2 linked regions of the Struthio camelus genome follow. The protein of the gene in region 2 interacts with the protein of the main gene of each other region in a pairwise test. Links are inferred from orthologs where the notes say so. Each region holds a gene or a part of one and is shown on either strand. Other genes may lie near its edges.

What was found. The genes of interacting proteins can lie anywhere in the genome.
Region 1: the proteins of MYBPC3 (region 2) and ACTC1 interact in a two-hybrid assay, tested with the Homo sapiens proteins (2 studies listed by IntAct). The link is inferred for Struthio camelus from reciprocal best matches to the Homo sapiens genes MYBPC3 and ACTC1.

Annotation. Positions count from the first base shown.
Region 1 is NC_090946.1:50,646,704-50,655,131, reverse strand, and holds the start of ACTC1 (actin, alpha cardiac muscle 1), read right to left. Parts: upstream 3,365-8,428; 5' UTR 3,127-3,364; intron 2,945-3,126; exon of another isoform or gene 2,812-2,944; intron 2,642-2,811; 5' UTR 2,622-2,641; coding exon 2,493-2,621; intron 1,416-2,492; coding exon 1,091-1,415; intron 490-1,090; coding exon 328-489; intron 211-327; coding exon 19-210; intron 1-18. UniProt on the Homo sapiens protein: Actins are highly conserved proteins that are involved in various types of cell motility and are ubiquitously expressed in all eukaryotic cells.
Region 2 is NC_090946.1:39,214,401-39,222,162, reverse strand, and holds the start of MYBPC3 (myosin-binding protein C, cardiac-type), read right to left. Parts: upstream 3,128-7,762; 5' UTR 2,999-3,127; coding exon 2,854-2,998; intron 1-2,853. UniProt on the Homo sapiens protein: Thick filament-associated protein located in the crossbridge region of vertebrate striated muscle a bands. In vitro it binds MHC, F-actin and native thin filaments, and modifies the activity of actin-activated myosin ATPase.

The DNA.
Region 1 (8,428 bases), about 11 Mb from region 2:
TTTTCCAAAAACACTTACCAATGAATGATGGCTGGAATAAGGTTTCAGGGCAGCGAAAACGTTCATTACCAATTGTGATGACTTGGCCATCAGGCAATTCATAGCTCTTTTCCAGAGACGAGGAAGAGGCAGCAGTGGCCATTTCGTTCTCAAAGTCCAGTGCAACATAGCACAATTTCTCTTTGATGTCACGAACAATCTCACGTTCAGCTGCAGACATACAGAAACCAAGTCAAGGTTTGGAGAAGCAAAACACTAGAGGAAGAAGATCCATGGATCAAGGGAGACATGAGGATATTCACAAGAGGGCGAAGCTGAAGGACTGACCTGTTGTCACAAAGGAATAGCCACGCTCAGTGAGGATCTTCATGAGGTAGTCAGTCAGATCCCTGCCAGCCAGATCCAGACGCATGATAGCATGAGGCAGAGCATAACCTTCATAAATAGGTACATTGTGGGTGACACCATCGCCAGAGTCAAGAACAATACCTGGGAGAGAATTGTTAGAGAGTAGCTGAATTCACCTAACAAATGTTTGGAAACCATATGACAAGCAGTAACACAGACAATTAAAAAAAGTAGGATTTTTCATGTGGTATAAAGTAGTGTCATTCTATTTTAGCCAGTTACTAAAAACAGACCTTGTCCATTCCTTCTGCCTTTGCCTGCACAGATATTCCTGTTTGGTGTGAGCGCTCACATGAAACAGTTGCCCATAAGTATTTTAAATGAGGTCCATCTGAGCAGCTTTTTCCTACCAAGTATGTGTGATGGTGATTGCCTTGATCTGAAAATGGACATCTTTTGGGCCCAAGAGTTTAACTCTTGCACAAGTTTTACACCAATGTAACTGCAATATCTTCACAGTAATCACTCCTTATTTACATCATGACAAGCAGGAGAATCAATTCCACAGTGTCTCCCCTTTAAAGCAATGCAGACAAATTCACATTGTTCCTTCAATAGATTCTTTTGTAGTGGCTTTTCGGCTACTGTTATCGTCAGTAACTACAATCAAAAAAAAAAACCTACATTTTTTTGTAATTTTGAATGAGTTACTTTTTTTTCCTATTTGGACTGTTTATTTTACCTGTTGTACGACCAGAAGCATAAAGGGACAAGACAGCCTGGATTGCCACATACATGGCAGGTACATTGAAGGTCTCAAACATTATCTGGGTCATCTTTTCACGATTTGCTTTAGGGTTCAAGGGGGCTTCTGTGAGCAGGGTGGGGTGTTCCTCAGGAGCCACACGCAGTTCATTGTAGAAAGTGTGGTGCCAGATCTTTTCCATATCATCCCAGTTGGTGATGATGCCATGTTCAATGGGATATTTCAAAGTAAGGATACCTCTTTTGCTCTGAGCTTCATCGCCTACATAGGAGTCTTTTTGACCCATACCAACCATAACACCCTAAAAGAAGAAAATGTAGAAAACCGTTATTTGAGGAAGGCAGCATCACAGAGCCTGAACAATTATGCCACAGAACACTACGCTATTTTGCAGAAAGACGCAATCAGTCATGCCAGAAAAAGGTCATTTAGGAAAGGAAATGTGCATTATCTAAACATTAAGCCAACACAATTTTACATTTTTCAATAAAATCCTTTTCCCTTTAACAGATGAAAGGATCAATTTTTTTCCCCTTTTCTAAATATGACATTGATTTTCAATTAGCTCTTTCTTTCTGGTCCAAAAGTTTGACTGAAAGTAAGCTGCACAATATAATGAGCAGGAAAAGAGACCTAGGAAGAGAGTTTATAAACAAAAAGATGTGGAGGGAAATAATCTAGTGAGCAATGGCAGTCTAGTCAATGGCAATACCAAATCGCTTTTGTTAAAAAAAAAAAAAAGGCACTGCAAACTTTTTAGCATGGAATTGTAGGAGAAAAAGTACTGTATTCTCTGTAAGCCAATTTAATCGTGACAAAATAGAAGGGCAATGAAACGGGAACAAGCAAAGGGAGGCCTGAAGGGTGGTGAGAAGGTAAGATTAGAGACAGACAGAGAGAGAGACACACAGAAGAAGCAGAAGAAATTCAAGGGATGGGGTCTGGTATGTGTTAGATAGGTTAGATAGGACGGGTAGGGGAAGGGCCTCGAAACAAATTGTGTCGGGCATAAATTCAGTCAACTGAGGCGTGTATGGGTGAACAGCAGCAGCAGGTCTGGCCTAGTGGGAAGCAGCTCTGCAGGAAGCGGGGTTCAGCCCGGGTTCCCCCGCTAGGAGAGGGAACAGGGAGAGAACGAAGGGGAAAGCTGGTGAACTGGAAAAAGCTGGGGGAAGAGGAGAAGCTCACAGCAGCGAGATAAAGGGGACCCAAACAGGGGAGCTGGGGGAAGCACTGGAGAGGAACTGAGGAAGTAGGACGAAAAGAAGGGAGGAAAGCCGGAGAGGAGGCGGCGGAGGCAGGACACACGAGCTCAGGACAGACGACTTCTGGGCAAAGGGGGCAGCCTCGGCCCTGCCCCAGCGGGCAGCAGCTTTACCTGGTGCCTCGGGCGGCCGACGATGGACGGGAAAACGGCCCTGGGGGCATCGTCGCCGGCAAAGCCCGCCTTGACGAGCCCCGAGCCGTTGTCGCACACCAGCGCGGTGGTCTCCTCGTCGTCACACATCCTCGGGCAGGGGCGCGGACCTGCAAAACAGCGCGGCGGCGCGTCCAGAGCGGGCCGGGCCCTCGCCCCACCGCCGCGGCCGCGGCTCCCCCTCCGCTGCCGCGCCGCCCTGGAGACACCGCCCCCCCCCCCCCCACTCCCGCCTCCGGCTTCGCGGACCTTCATTAGCACTATGGTTCATTAGCGGTACCTTCGGGCCACAGATTTGTAACGGAAGAGAAAAGCGTTTGAAATCGGAGAGGGAACGGCTCGGCCTCGAGCACTTCGCCGGTCGGGGCCCGCCCGGCAAAAGGGGGCAGCGCCGCCGGCCCCGGCCCCGGCTCCGGCTCCGGCCGCGGCCGCGCCCCGCCGAAGGGCAAAACCGCCGCGGCGGCTGCACAAGCGGACAGCGCCGCCCGCCCGCCCCGCCCCGCCCCGCCCCGTCCCGTCCCGCCGGGCTGGCCGCTGGCGGAGCGCTGCTGCGCGGCGCGGCGCGGGCAGCCGAGGGCGCCGCCGCGCTACTCACCAGAGGGGCGGCGGCGGCAGCGGCGGTGGCGCTCCCGAGGCGAGGCTGGGTGCCGGCCCGGGGGAGGCGCGCCGCTTTATACCCCGCGCGGCGGCGGCGGCGGCTCCCGCGGGACGGGGGGCCGCCGCCGTCTCCTTATTTGGTCGCTTCGCGCCATGGAGGCGCCGCGCGGCCATGAATGGCGCAGGGCGCGGGGCGCGGCGCGGCCGCCCGGCCCTTGTAAGGCAGGCGCGGGGCCGCGCGCCCCCGGCCCGCCGCATGGCCAAATTGGGAGCGGGGGGCGCCCGGCGGCCTGGGCGGCGGCGGGGCCCGCGGAGGCGCCCGCGATGCCCCGAGGGGCCGGCGCGCGGCTTCAAGGCTGAGGGAGGCTGAAGGGTCTCCCAGCCCCCCCAGCCCCAGCCCGGCTTTTCTTCTTTAACCGAAGACAAGTCGGGCTCTTCCTTAGTCGACGACCCCCGCGGTGGCCACGGCTCGGGCTTTGGCTCTGCGCCGTGGCGGCATGTGCTTGCTGCGTTGCCTGGGGAGGGAGCGCCGCCCGCTCGGTGTCTTTGCAACTTTTGAAGAGCCCATGCAGGCAGCGGCCGTGCTTCTCCCCGATTTTGGCTGGCAGCAGCTATAGCACGAAGTGGGGTCTGCTGGTTCGCGTTAGCCTGCATGTATTTAAACTCCCCATTTTTGCCCTTTTAATGCGCCCTGGATCAGTAAGGCATAGTGATAAGTGTAGGGCGGAGGAGGAGAGATGGGAATAGCTTGGACAAGAAACAGCTACGGCATTAATGTAATGTGGCAGTTGTTTTCCTGCTCAGTTGTTGAAACATCCACACTGATAATTTGTTCCAGCGGTAGAACCTAGCAAATTCATATTTCTTAAAGAATTTTTTTTCAGTTAAAAATAGAACCGCTGGAGAGGCATCCCTTGAGTGGGTTTGGCCTGGTATGCGGAGGCAGAGACTGTCAACCTGTGTCCTGGAGGAGCTGCATTACAGTGCGGAGTACAGTGTCTTTGGGGAGCTCACAAACTACCCCGCGCTGATGTCTGCCTGCATAAGACGCACTGGGAAAACAAGAATTGAGTTTGGGGGCAGAAGGGAAGGGTGGGATGTGGGGGTCAAGAGGGGAAAGCTCAGTGAACTGGATCCACCGCTGAACACACACAGGTCGAGTTTCTTAGCTGCTGCAAAAGGGCTGGCACCGCTACGCAGTACATTTTGAATGAAGTGGAAGGAAAGAGCTTGTGAATGTCATCCGGCCTGCAATTTTTCTCTTTTCTTTTCTTTTCTTTTCTCTTTTCTTTTCTTTTCTTTTCTTTTCTTTTCTTTTCTTTTCTTTTCTTTTCTTTTCTTTTCTTTTCTTTTCTTTTCTTTTCTTTTCTTTTCTTTTCTTTTCTGGTGTAGGAGCTATCTTTGCACAGTGATTTGGCTCTAACAAAGGGTACAAAGACTGGAAATTGCCTACTACTCATTTCTAAATCGGATGTAACCAAAGGGGGCGTCAGACTCTTAGACTTTAATTTCTTCTGAAACAGGAGATAGTGGAATCAGTTTGCTCGTTTCTAACACATTTAATGAGGTGGTTAGCTCCACCCCAGCCCCAGCTTATCTTGGGGCTGTGCCCAGTTATGAACACAACTCTGAGATACATATAGCAATACACTTCTTGGCCATTGTTAGCTCCTGCTTTTCTTTAAATGCCTTGAGGAGAGACAGTCTGTTTCAGGTGAGACACTATTTGTATGTAAAGATGTGTGTGTATATTCATAAATATATAAAAGTATATATATGTATACACACAAATATATGCAAGATGTGTGTGTGTGTGTGTGTGTGTGTGTGCGCGCACACGTGTGTATGTATGTATATATATACATATATGTAATCTATTTTTTAGCTGTGTGGGAGAGTGAGGTGCAAGACTGTGAAGTGCAGTGACCTAAAAAGGTTACAGGAGGGAAGGACTGTCCTTCAGTGCTTCTAGTCTGGAACCAGTGGCAAACATTGACTTTGCTAACTTTCCTGCTATTGATGAAAAATCATCCAGCATCAATACTGGTGAGATAAGGACTCCAAGTAAGTATATAATTACCTAAATCCATCAGGCGTAGGTAGCGGGGTTGAAAATATTTTGGTGATAGCAATGTAGATTTCCATATGCCTGTTTATATAAGAAGTCATATATATGCATAGATAGCATGGACTATGTGTGCGCAGAGTAACATTTCAATGGAAAAATACATTGTTGTACCCTGTTTTTCAGTTTAAAAAATTCAGTACATTTTAGTCCATAGTGAGTTGCCACATACAATTTAAATTTGCTTCTTTTTTTCCCTACCACATCTTTTCTACAGAAGCCATATAACGTGAGGGATTGGCCAGCTTCACCGGCACTAGAGATTAGCTTTCAGTGTTATCTCAGCTGTTCCTCCGTTCAGAGGTGTTACAGTATTTACATAGAAGCCAGTTGCTGATAGCTGCATTGAATTCCTCCTCAATCAGACCTTCCCTGTCACATCCTACATTCCCCTGGGCTGGGGAGAGAGAGACTCTCTGTTGAAAGTGAGACAGACAGAGCCAGCTCTTGCATGCAAAATCTATGCAAGGCAGCCTGCATTTTCTTCTGTTTCCTTTATAAGTAAATATTGGCTTTCTCTACCCTTTCCTGAAGTTTTAAATTTCTGATACAGTAGGATTCGTATCTGGGATCCTGATACACTTGAGAGCTCATCACTTTCTTTCCTCTCTCTCTCTACTTACTGTATATCGCAAGGTCAAATGAACAGGGCATCACACAATGTACGTAAATCCAAAATGGCATCTGCTCCCTCCTAGCCATTCCTAAAAGTGCCCAGATAAACTTATTCCTTTGGCCAAAGTTGTCCTGCTCTGCAAAAAGTGATATTACAGCCTCAAATACACAAAACAAGCCAACAAATAAAAAGCTGCTGCAGCGTGTTACATAAAGTTAGCCAGAGGAAAAATACTCTAGTTTCTGAATGACCGGGCTCCCTAACTGCTCTATGCATTTCCCATGACTTAGCTACTGGGAGGCACCCCAGAGGCAAAGGAACAGCAAGCAGAAGGGAGGGTTAGGACAGCAAACAGACCTGCAGTGGACTGATCTGCACACACCTCAAAAGAGCTTGAACAGACAGGAATATGAAGGCTTAATGTCTAGCCAGAGTCAATGGAGTCCCACAAATAATATATAGATAATGGGGTAGCACAAATAATGTGTTTATCTGACACATGGGCATAAGCAAAACAGGATGTGTTATTCAACTAATGAGACACTTTTGTGACTAGAGTCGAAATCAGAACACGACGAGTGAATTATGAGTTCTTGGCGCTGCATACTAAAAAATGCAAATAAAAAAAATCACACTGTGGTCTTATGATGCCCAGAAATCCTCACATCTCCTGTTCCTATTCAGCTTTTGAGTGAGGAAAACAGGTAGTCTAAAAATAAAACCTTGCTTCAAGCATTGAACACTTATTACCCCAGACTTCAGATTATTTACAGTAGTGAACATGGCATTCAGACAATTAAAATGTGTGGGATCAGGCCCTCTTTATGTGTATTTTTTGATCTTTCTGATTATATTTGGTTGTCTATAGATGCTCCAAAGAAAGCCAATAAACTTTCATAATACATCAAACTCTATCATTATGTTGATTTCAAAGTACAGTATACCCTGACCTGGTACATCTTAGAACAGAAGACTTCCCTCTTCTCACGGGCTAAAGTCTCCTATTTCTAAATCCTGTGGATCATGACATATAAAATTTGTCCTGGCTCAGAGCTGACTCTTACCTTTCCTAAGCCTCAGGCCAGTGTGATCTTTGGAAGAAATTTTCCCTCTGTAAGAATAGGAAGCAAATACTGCTCTGACAGGTTTTCCTTTGTCCCATGACAGCTGTTTGGAGCTGCATGTGCTTTAGGAATATAAAAAGCATTGCAGAGTCTTAGAAATGGGCAGGAGTCCTGATGCGATGAGAATGTTAAAGGTGCACTGCAACGTATCATATGAATATCATCATCCCATACTTGGGGGGGGGGGGGGTCATGTGTGGCTGTTTGTGTCTGTGCAGTTATGTCTAGTATTGTCCGTGTCTGTGCAGATATACACAGGGAAGCCAGAAAAGACAACTCTGTAGTCGCCCCCAACCTACAGGCGTTCCCTATGAAACATTCCCTTATATTTCCCAGTCTGATTTTGAAAGTCCCAAGTGAGGAATCTTTCTCCTGTTCTGCTACAAGACAGTCTCCCAAGTTAATAATCACACTGTCAAGCAAACTTCTCCGGTCAATTCAGATGTTTCCCTTTCTTAGTTGCATCTAATTCGCACTAGTTATAGTCCATGTATCATGCTCCCTACATTCCCTGTCTCCTCCTCAGCATTTAAACCCTTCACATAGTTGCAGACTGTTATCATCTCTCTCCCTCTTTCTCTCACTCACTCATGTACTGCTGCACATCTATAATTAACCTAAAACATCTTAAGTGTGCACTGAAATGATAGAATGATGAGGTGGGCACTAGGAGTTAGAGATGCACCTAAAACATCTTGTTATGCAGCTGAGAGAAGCAGGGACGGGCAACAAGCAGAGGTGAGCAGTAGTGAAAGGAATTTATGCTTCTGAGTCTCTGACCCTCAGGAGTCATTATTTGCAACGTCACTTACAACTAAAGGCCGAGGTTCTCGCTCCTGTTATACTCTCTTTGCAGCAGGAAGAAGGGCTCAGAGACCGTTGAGAGTTTCTGAAAACATGAAGGCTGCACGGGAGGAATTTCTTGCTTCCAGAAATGCTGTTTCTCTCACAAGCTGTAGCATGGCAGGTGCGACAGGGGTAGGACTGAAATGAAATCCCGAGGGACACAGAGTAGTTCAGGAAGATGGAAATAGGTCCTGAGCACATCAACTGTTTCCAGCGTGTATGTTGGCTGCCAGTCCTGTGCTGCATCTGTGAGAGACACCAGCTTCACATGAGACTGCTGACGGACAGTTTTTCTAACAGACTCCAAATCTCATTTTGACTGTTTAGTTATAAAAAAAAAATTCTGACTTGAACACCAGAGGAGATGGAACATGAAAGACAGCTTTGTGCGTGTTTGTTCAGCGTCACATAATCATCCCTTGATCTTTGATGAGTCTCCAGACGCTAGCACTGTACAAATAAATAGCAACTCTAAAGGTAATTGATAGATCAACCAAAGAGTTTGAGAGTCTTTTATATTAGGAATAGCTCCACAAAACACCAGTGCTTAAGGCTAAATTCTACACAGTCATCTGAAATTTGTGATTAT
Region 2 (7,762 bases):
CAGTAGGGCTGTGCACTTACAGCCAGGTTATTTATAAACCTTTGATAAAATTTCCTAACCTGAACTGCAAAATATAGACTTCTCAGTGTATAAAAAAGATGAACAAAAATGGACTGATTTTCAGAGAATATGACTAATACCAGGCTTCAGCTTTTTCCAGATTTAGTAATGCCCACATTTTCCATTAAGTTGTGTTTATGTACTAAATTTGATGTTTAAAAGGTCAGCTGTTTCCTCTTACTGTCACAAAATATTATTACGGAAATGGTTGAGATCTTTTAACCTTTTTTGTCTTTTTCACAACAAAAAACAGATCAGCCTTTGAACAGAGACCAACTATGAAAAGTTTAAATGAGAGAGATAAAAGAACAAAAAGTTTCTGCAACTGAATTCTGCAAAAAGTGATGTTTTTCAACGTTTGATAGTTTGTTCTGAAACTGAATTGCTGCTGATGTTCTAAATGCTGTTACTGTTGAGGAGTGTATAGATATTCTGGAAAGCCACTCCAATTCTTCTGGTATGCTGTAAAGAAATAGGACAGTGCCTCATCCTGAAGTATTTGAGTTGGACAATTTGTAATAAAAGAATGTCTGTTGGGAAATCTATTTCACGGCTTTAGTTTAAACGTTTACAGACTTTTTTTTTCTTTTTTTCTTTCTTTCTTTTTTTTTTCTTTTTTACGTAGTGAACAGGTTGTTAAAAGAGCAGATGTGATAGAATATTTCTGATTATTCTCTGGCTTGAAGCATTTTCCCTTACGTATACACTGGATGCCCTAATTCCAGTAATACACCCTAGAGATCCTCATAGAGTGTTATAACTATGTGATATGCAAAAGCCAGGAATCACGATTTGTCCAAGAAGGAACTGCTAGATGCTTATTCAGCCCTCCTGAGATCACACACAACATTATCCTGTCTTGACATGGTTTGAACTATATAAACAACTTGAAGTAGAAAACCAAAGGGATTAATATCTCTTGGGAGAATACAAAGATCCGCTCTAGAAGTTATGGGGCATGTGACTGGTTCTGTCTCAGTCAGAGTGGGTAATAAGAGCTTTTCCTCCCCCTGCTGTGATCATCACAATGTTTGGGCTCGTTTGTTCACAAGAATTGAGTAGGACTAGTGATATTAGATGCCTGTCAGATTTCTTCTCTTTGGAGAAGTAAGCTGGAATAATAAGGTCCATTTTTCTTCATCGTTAACTAGCAAAGGTGGGCAACTTCACAGTCAGAGAAGCCCATCCTGAGAGGTGCAAAATGTTAATATGAAGTTTTTAATCTATACAAAAGGAATTTACAAATGCAAAAACTGACTGCTTTATCAAAGGCAGTTAAACCATTAAAAATCAGAAGTAACAATGCCTAGGAGATTACACTGTCAAATTTCAGCTACTCAATCTTTTTGCCATCATTGGCAATCGCAAACATTTGATCTTTCAAGAAATCTCAAACATCATGTGATTTTAAAAATATAATACATTTATGGATATCTTGTATTTTGTGATTGGTGAACCTTTACAGCTCATATTTTCAAGGTTTTCTCTACAGTCCCGAGGTCTGGTATATACTTATTTTTTACATAAGATTGCACTTTCATCTGATCCCAGAAACTGCAGCTCTAAGAACATCAAATGTTGTGATAGTTGTGTAGAAACTGAAGAACTGATGACACCACTGTCGCTTCAGAGTTTTAGTATAGAAGGACATAGAGAGTCTTGTTGAAATGAGCCATGCTTTAATGCTTTGCAGTTCTTAATGAGCGACATGGTTTGGATTTGTGATCTGTCTCTGGCAGCGTCTGATTCCAAATATTTGGCCAAAATGAAAGATCTTCCTAACAAATACAGGCTCTTTTGTTGTGGCAGGCACAGCAGATTTTCCCCTTGACCAGCATAACAGGGGATCAATGGCTGTTCAGTCTTTTGCAAAGTACAAAAAGGCCTACATTAATAAGTATCAACAGCTATTACTGACTAACCCTGGAAAGTGTGTGCTGTAAAAAAACCGTGCATCTCGTACTGTACATTCTGATATTAGTGATTCTGAGTATACGCTGGCATCAATGAAATGAAAGTCTGGCTCTAAAAGTGAAGAATCCCAGATTTAGTACAGTTTCCTCCATCACTGTATACTGTATTTGCATTTTTCAAACAATCATAACTTTACCTTTCAATATCTTTTTTTCAAACTTAATTGTGGGCATGGAGCGCTCCGGAGCCATCTTTCTCTATCCACACACATGTTCTGCAGGTAAACTCTCCCTAGCTGTGCTTCCCACTGTCTCTTCTTCCTCCTTCTCAGACACACAGTGTCCTTGCACCCCATCTTATACTTTCTAGACCTCCTCTTTTTTCCTGTGTATGCATCTCCTTAGTTCTTAATTTTAAAGAGAGTAAGTTCTGAACCAGCTGCCGTGAGCTTTAATTTTCGTAGAGATTTCACTACCAAAAAATACAATCAAAGGTTGCTACTGATACTTTCTGGCAGGTATCATGAAAAAAACCCCAGGAGATATTTATACCGCCCAAAAGGCCCAAGAGAGAGACTATAGGCTTCTTTCACAGCCCTGAAGGTGACTGGGAGAGGAGGTGAGAAACGGAAAAAATCGGAGAATTCAATATGTTTCACCTCTATCCTCCCCCCTCATCCAAAGTCTCTGGAGATAATTTTGTGACTGAGGGTTGCCAAATGAGTTACTGATTTCTCTACAAGATTACCCGACATCTCGGTTTTAATAAGTTTATAAAATATTGTTTCTGTTCTCTCTCTATTATTTTGTTATTGAGGCATCTCATTTCTCTAGCATACAAAAACTAGCCCAAAATTTTTCTGTCAGTTGTGATCCTTACCTGTTTTCTTTACAGGCTCTGGCATCTTCACTTTGTTTCTGCTGAAGCTCCCAGTTGTATCTAGAAAGCAGGATCTGAGCTGAATAGGAATGAGACTGCAAGGCTTTTGGGACCCCCTAAAGAAACACTGAGTGGAAGCCCCCATCCTGCTCCTCCCCCTTGATTCCCCACTGTTGTCAGCTACGGCACCTTATCAACACCAGGACACACTTGACAGACTACATCAGCCAGGATAAATATAGCAAGTTCCAGGAGCCAGAGAGCTCACACTGCTCAAGACTGGCTACCACTGATCTATTGGTACAAACCGGAGGACAATCTGATGCTGCACATGCATACAATGCTTTTTCTGTCCTCACATATATATAATTCATTAAGAATTCCTACACTGCCCGTGTTTATAGCACATTTTATAAACTGGATTTGGCAATTATATGTCCTGTATGCTGGTTCTATACTAACTGTGTGTGTTTGCTTGCATACTTGCTGCTGTTTCAGGCTCTGTTATTGTTATAATCGAGTCAGACCTGAATGGCTCCTCAGAAAGCTTTTTTCTTGTTTTTTTTTTTTTTTCTCTTCTACTGAAGACTCTGTAGAACTAAATGTGAGCCTTTGGGAAGGAACTTACTTTTTCAGAGACACTTGTACATTACTGACATTTGCAGTCACAACTGGAAAGCATGACACTACTTAAATAGTTTCAGTCATCCCTCCCCATCCACCCACTTGTTCTGCAGCATAAATCTCGTGAAAACTGCCAGACATGTTTTTATTTTTTTTAGCACCATTTGAAAAATGGTTCCAGGGCTTTATTAGATACCTCTAGAAGTTTTAATTTGGCTGAATTACGTAGAAAATCTTAGGGTATCTCACCAGGAAATTATTCTGGTATTGCTATTTCAGAAATTGTCACTCAGTGTCTGAATGTTGTCTATACTTTTATCACAGCACCTCCTATTCTTTTAGGACAAAAAAATAAAGCTGTGCAGGTTTACATAAAACACTAACTTCTGAAGATGGTGTGTCTATAACAGAGATCGCGGCCTCACTTCCAAAGTGATGGAAAGGTCCTGCTTGCTCTAAAGCAGATGGGGAATTAATCCTGCCATCCGATGGGTGATAGAAGAATTGCGTGTGAATGTTTCCCTTTGGAAATGTATTGGATGCTCTAAACCATGCTTCCTTTGAAAGGTGATACAATCATACTTTAGATTAAATTCAAACGATGTGTTATTTGTGGGTAGTAACCATCTGTAAGCCATTGTTTCCTAGGGAATTTGAGAGAAGTTTACACTAATCTGAAAAATAAAGTATAATGGGATAATAGGTCAGCAAGGATATATATAAAATCAGATGATGGAGTGTTCCCAGTGTGTATTAGGATGGAAAGCTAAACAATATACTCCGCAGTTCTTTATTAATGCTGGGAGTGGAGCGTACAGGAGTTCGTCCCTGTGGTGCTTTCTGAAAATTTGTAAATAAGATTTAGTCTGTTCATAATCTCTCTTGCTTATTCATGACAGATACTTAGAAACTTTTTTAGGGCTAAAGAGTTATGGACTGCTATGAGTGCCTGGGAACCTTTTCCCAATGCCTTTCATGTTTCCCAACCTATAAATATATATATATATGTTTTTAAATAGTTAGTCCTTACTCAATGTGAGTGTATCATTTTCCTTTTCCTGAATGGATTTTTCACCTACATAAAACACCTGCCATCGTATTTTCTTTGGCTCTTTGCTTAGGATTTCATTTAATCTATTCCATATCTTTCTCACTGTAAATTTGATTCTCTTTGTAAACATGTAGTGGATGTGGTTTTAATTCAGCGAGCTACTGAAGGGCTTGAATAACTTTAACTGTGGACTTCATTTTGATTACTTTTGTGCTCAGAATTAGGCGTATTTGATACAAGTACTGTGCTGACTCAGTCCCTTAGCTGGGTATTCTCCATAGATACTTTCCAGGATTTAGAATCATGTTTAATTTTGAGAGGGTATGAGTTACTTCTTCTCCTAGTGAAACAGAGCAACAAGAATTATTTCATCTGACACAGGGAAATGATCCTATCCCACGGTTATAACTTTACCATTATGTGATTTTAAATATATTATTTAAAATATGTCAGCTTGTTCAAGGCAGAGCAAAACAAATGTTTTCCCTGCTATTACACTTCTGGTTACCAGGTGGCAGCATTGTAGTGTTAATGAACCTTTTTCTAGCATTTTCTATATTATTTTGTTTATTTATTTATAGAGCCACTTTCACTAACAAAACTGCTAATACAAATGAAATATATGATAGGGATTGCTTCACTGTCCCAAAAATAGACCCATGTGTGTAGTGGATTGTGATAACTTCTTATCAGTGCACCACAACACTAGACAGTTTTTAAGAAAGTATATGAAGATTCATCCTCTACCGCAGTGAAACTAATGCACGAACATGTAAAGAAATATGTAATAAATATATCTGGAGTTTTGTGAGAACAGTAAATAGGAGGGAAAAGGGTGTCCTTTCTTGTCAGAGGAACAATCTTACAAGTCTGAAACTATTTTTCTGTGCCTGAGACAGTGGCTTTGTCATGTATTTCAGAGTCAAGTTTAAAAAACAACAGTAATAGATGACCTGCAGTGACAGGCTATGTGATGTATCTTCCTGATTTTGGATAGTTACAGCCTGGCTTATACAGAGAAACACAAGGATTTATTATTTATAGACAAAGTTAGCAGCACCTCCTTCTAATAAGACTACCCAACTTCCTATTAAAAGAATGTGTTTTTAGATGGTTACGACTTAGACCAAATTTAGCTGTTCAGGCAGAAAATATATATACTGCTTGTCTACTCTGGGCTTTTTTAGCTTTTTGTTTCTGTCACACCATCTGATTTTTTGTCTGTATCTTTTTATCTTTCTACCTTTCAGGTTTGTTTTGTGAAAATATCACCTCAGCAATCCAGGGTCTGAGGACAAGGTTAGTATAATTAACTTGCAGTTTTCTGGGTTTTAGATTTACTGGTACAAATGCTGAGATAGCTGAGCTGGCTATGTGCAGAGCACAGGTCTGGCAGGATTCGTTTGCTCAAGTGCTGCACCCCATGAAACCAGCTAGACTGTTTCCAGGAAGAACTTGGTGTCTTAGTATTGTGCTTTTGGACCACAAAGCTCTGGGGCACGTGGTGCAAAGGCACTTGACCTCATTGGCAGAACTCGGGTCTCTGAGGACTTACTAGACCTGTGTTAATGCTGATCCTGCTCATCAGAGCTTGCTCCTGCACAACCATTTTATATCCCTACACTGTACATCTCATATTTTGGATCTTTCTAGACATTTGATGCTTTAGTAGCTTTTAGTTCAGGGGTGTACTTTTGACTGGCTACATGAAAATCAACCTGAGTTGTTCCATGTTATAAACTACAGAAAAAAATGCAGTTTACATATGCTTAGTGAGAACTTCTTAGATTTTATCCTCTGAAAGTTTTAACTGTTATCAGTTGTGGTCCAGTACAGGGTTCAGCAGGTTTTTCCCTGCGTTTGTCTCTGGGCTGTTGTGGGGCTTGAGCTAAATCCATGCACTTGAACTGAGAGAAAACAGCATACTGAGAGAAAGCATAATGAGAAACAGCATACTGAGAGAAAACACAGACTGAGAGAAAGCATGTCTTGTGTTCCAAATAACATCTCTCAGTCTCAGATAAAATGGAAGGGAAAGCTGTCTGATCTGAATGAAGGGGGCAAAGAATTGGACCTTCAGGGAGACAGACGTGATAGAGTGGGACAAGCAAAAATAACAATATGTGATTGAAGGGTAGGGTGGGAAGAAGAAAACTGAGACTAGAGGTTGTGGGAGGGGTTTGAAATCAATCTTCAAAAGACAAGAATATTGAGTAGGAAGCTGGGGTACAAATGAGAGGGAGGGAAGAGAACTAGGAGTTAGTAACTGATGAGACTGAAACCGTAAGGGGATATGAGATGGGAAAACTAGAAATGACTGAATAAATGTACTGGAACTGAGAACCATTCACATAAAGAGAAGCCAGGAAGAGGCAAGTGTCGGAAAAGTTGGTATGAGAGGAAGAAATAAGACTAGCTGACAAAAATTGAATGCTGACTTTGAGGATAAGGCAACTGGGATCTAATACGGACATGTCTGGTGGCTGGGTCTAGAGACAGAGAAAAGCTGAGTGAAGACCTCGGAGTGGATAACTGGGACTGGCTGAAAAAGGAAACAGGAACAAAGTGCTGGTGGATGGAAAAAAGTGGAAGACAGAATGTGTAAAGAAGAATTCTATAATTATGTTTCCAAAAGCAAGCACTTAAAACTCAGGAAATTAGTTGGTTAAACCTAAAAGAAACCCAGACTGATTTGTATAGGCAAATGCCCAGCTCAGTACCCAAACATTCTTGACTTTGCATAAAGCAGAGGCATCCAAGCATTCTGCAAAAAGGCATCAGTGGTCAAAGGGCTTCTCGCAGAAGAGCACTGCTGCTCTGCTGCTGGGGAGCTGAAACAAAAGCTCAGAGGGAGCCTTTAAAGCACAGAAACTGCATTCCTTCCTACCACAAAGCCGCTTCCCCAATCCTTTGCATAACCTTGGTCTCCCCAACACCTCCTCCCACCCTTCCTTCTCCTCCACCACCTCCTGCTAAACCTTATCTGCTCTACCACATCCTCATTCTTCTCCTGTCCATAGACTGCTCTGCTCATTCTCACGTACTCCTTTGGCTCCCCAGTAGTGAAAAGTAACACTGTGGGGAACTAAAAGCGTAAAGAAGGGGGGATGTGGCTGTATGAGTGGAGAGAATGGAAAGAAACACGGAGCTGAAAGGAAGTTGCCCTGAGAAACCTGATCTAATTGGCCCTGCTTTGAGTAGGGGGATGAATGAGGTGACCTTCAGAGGAGCCTT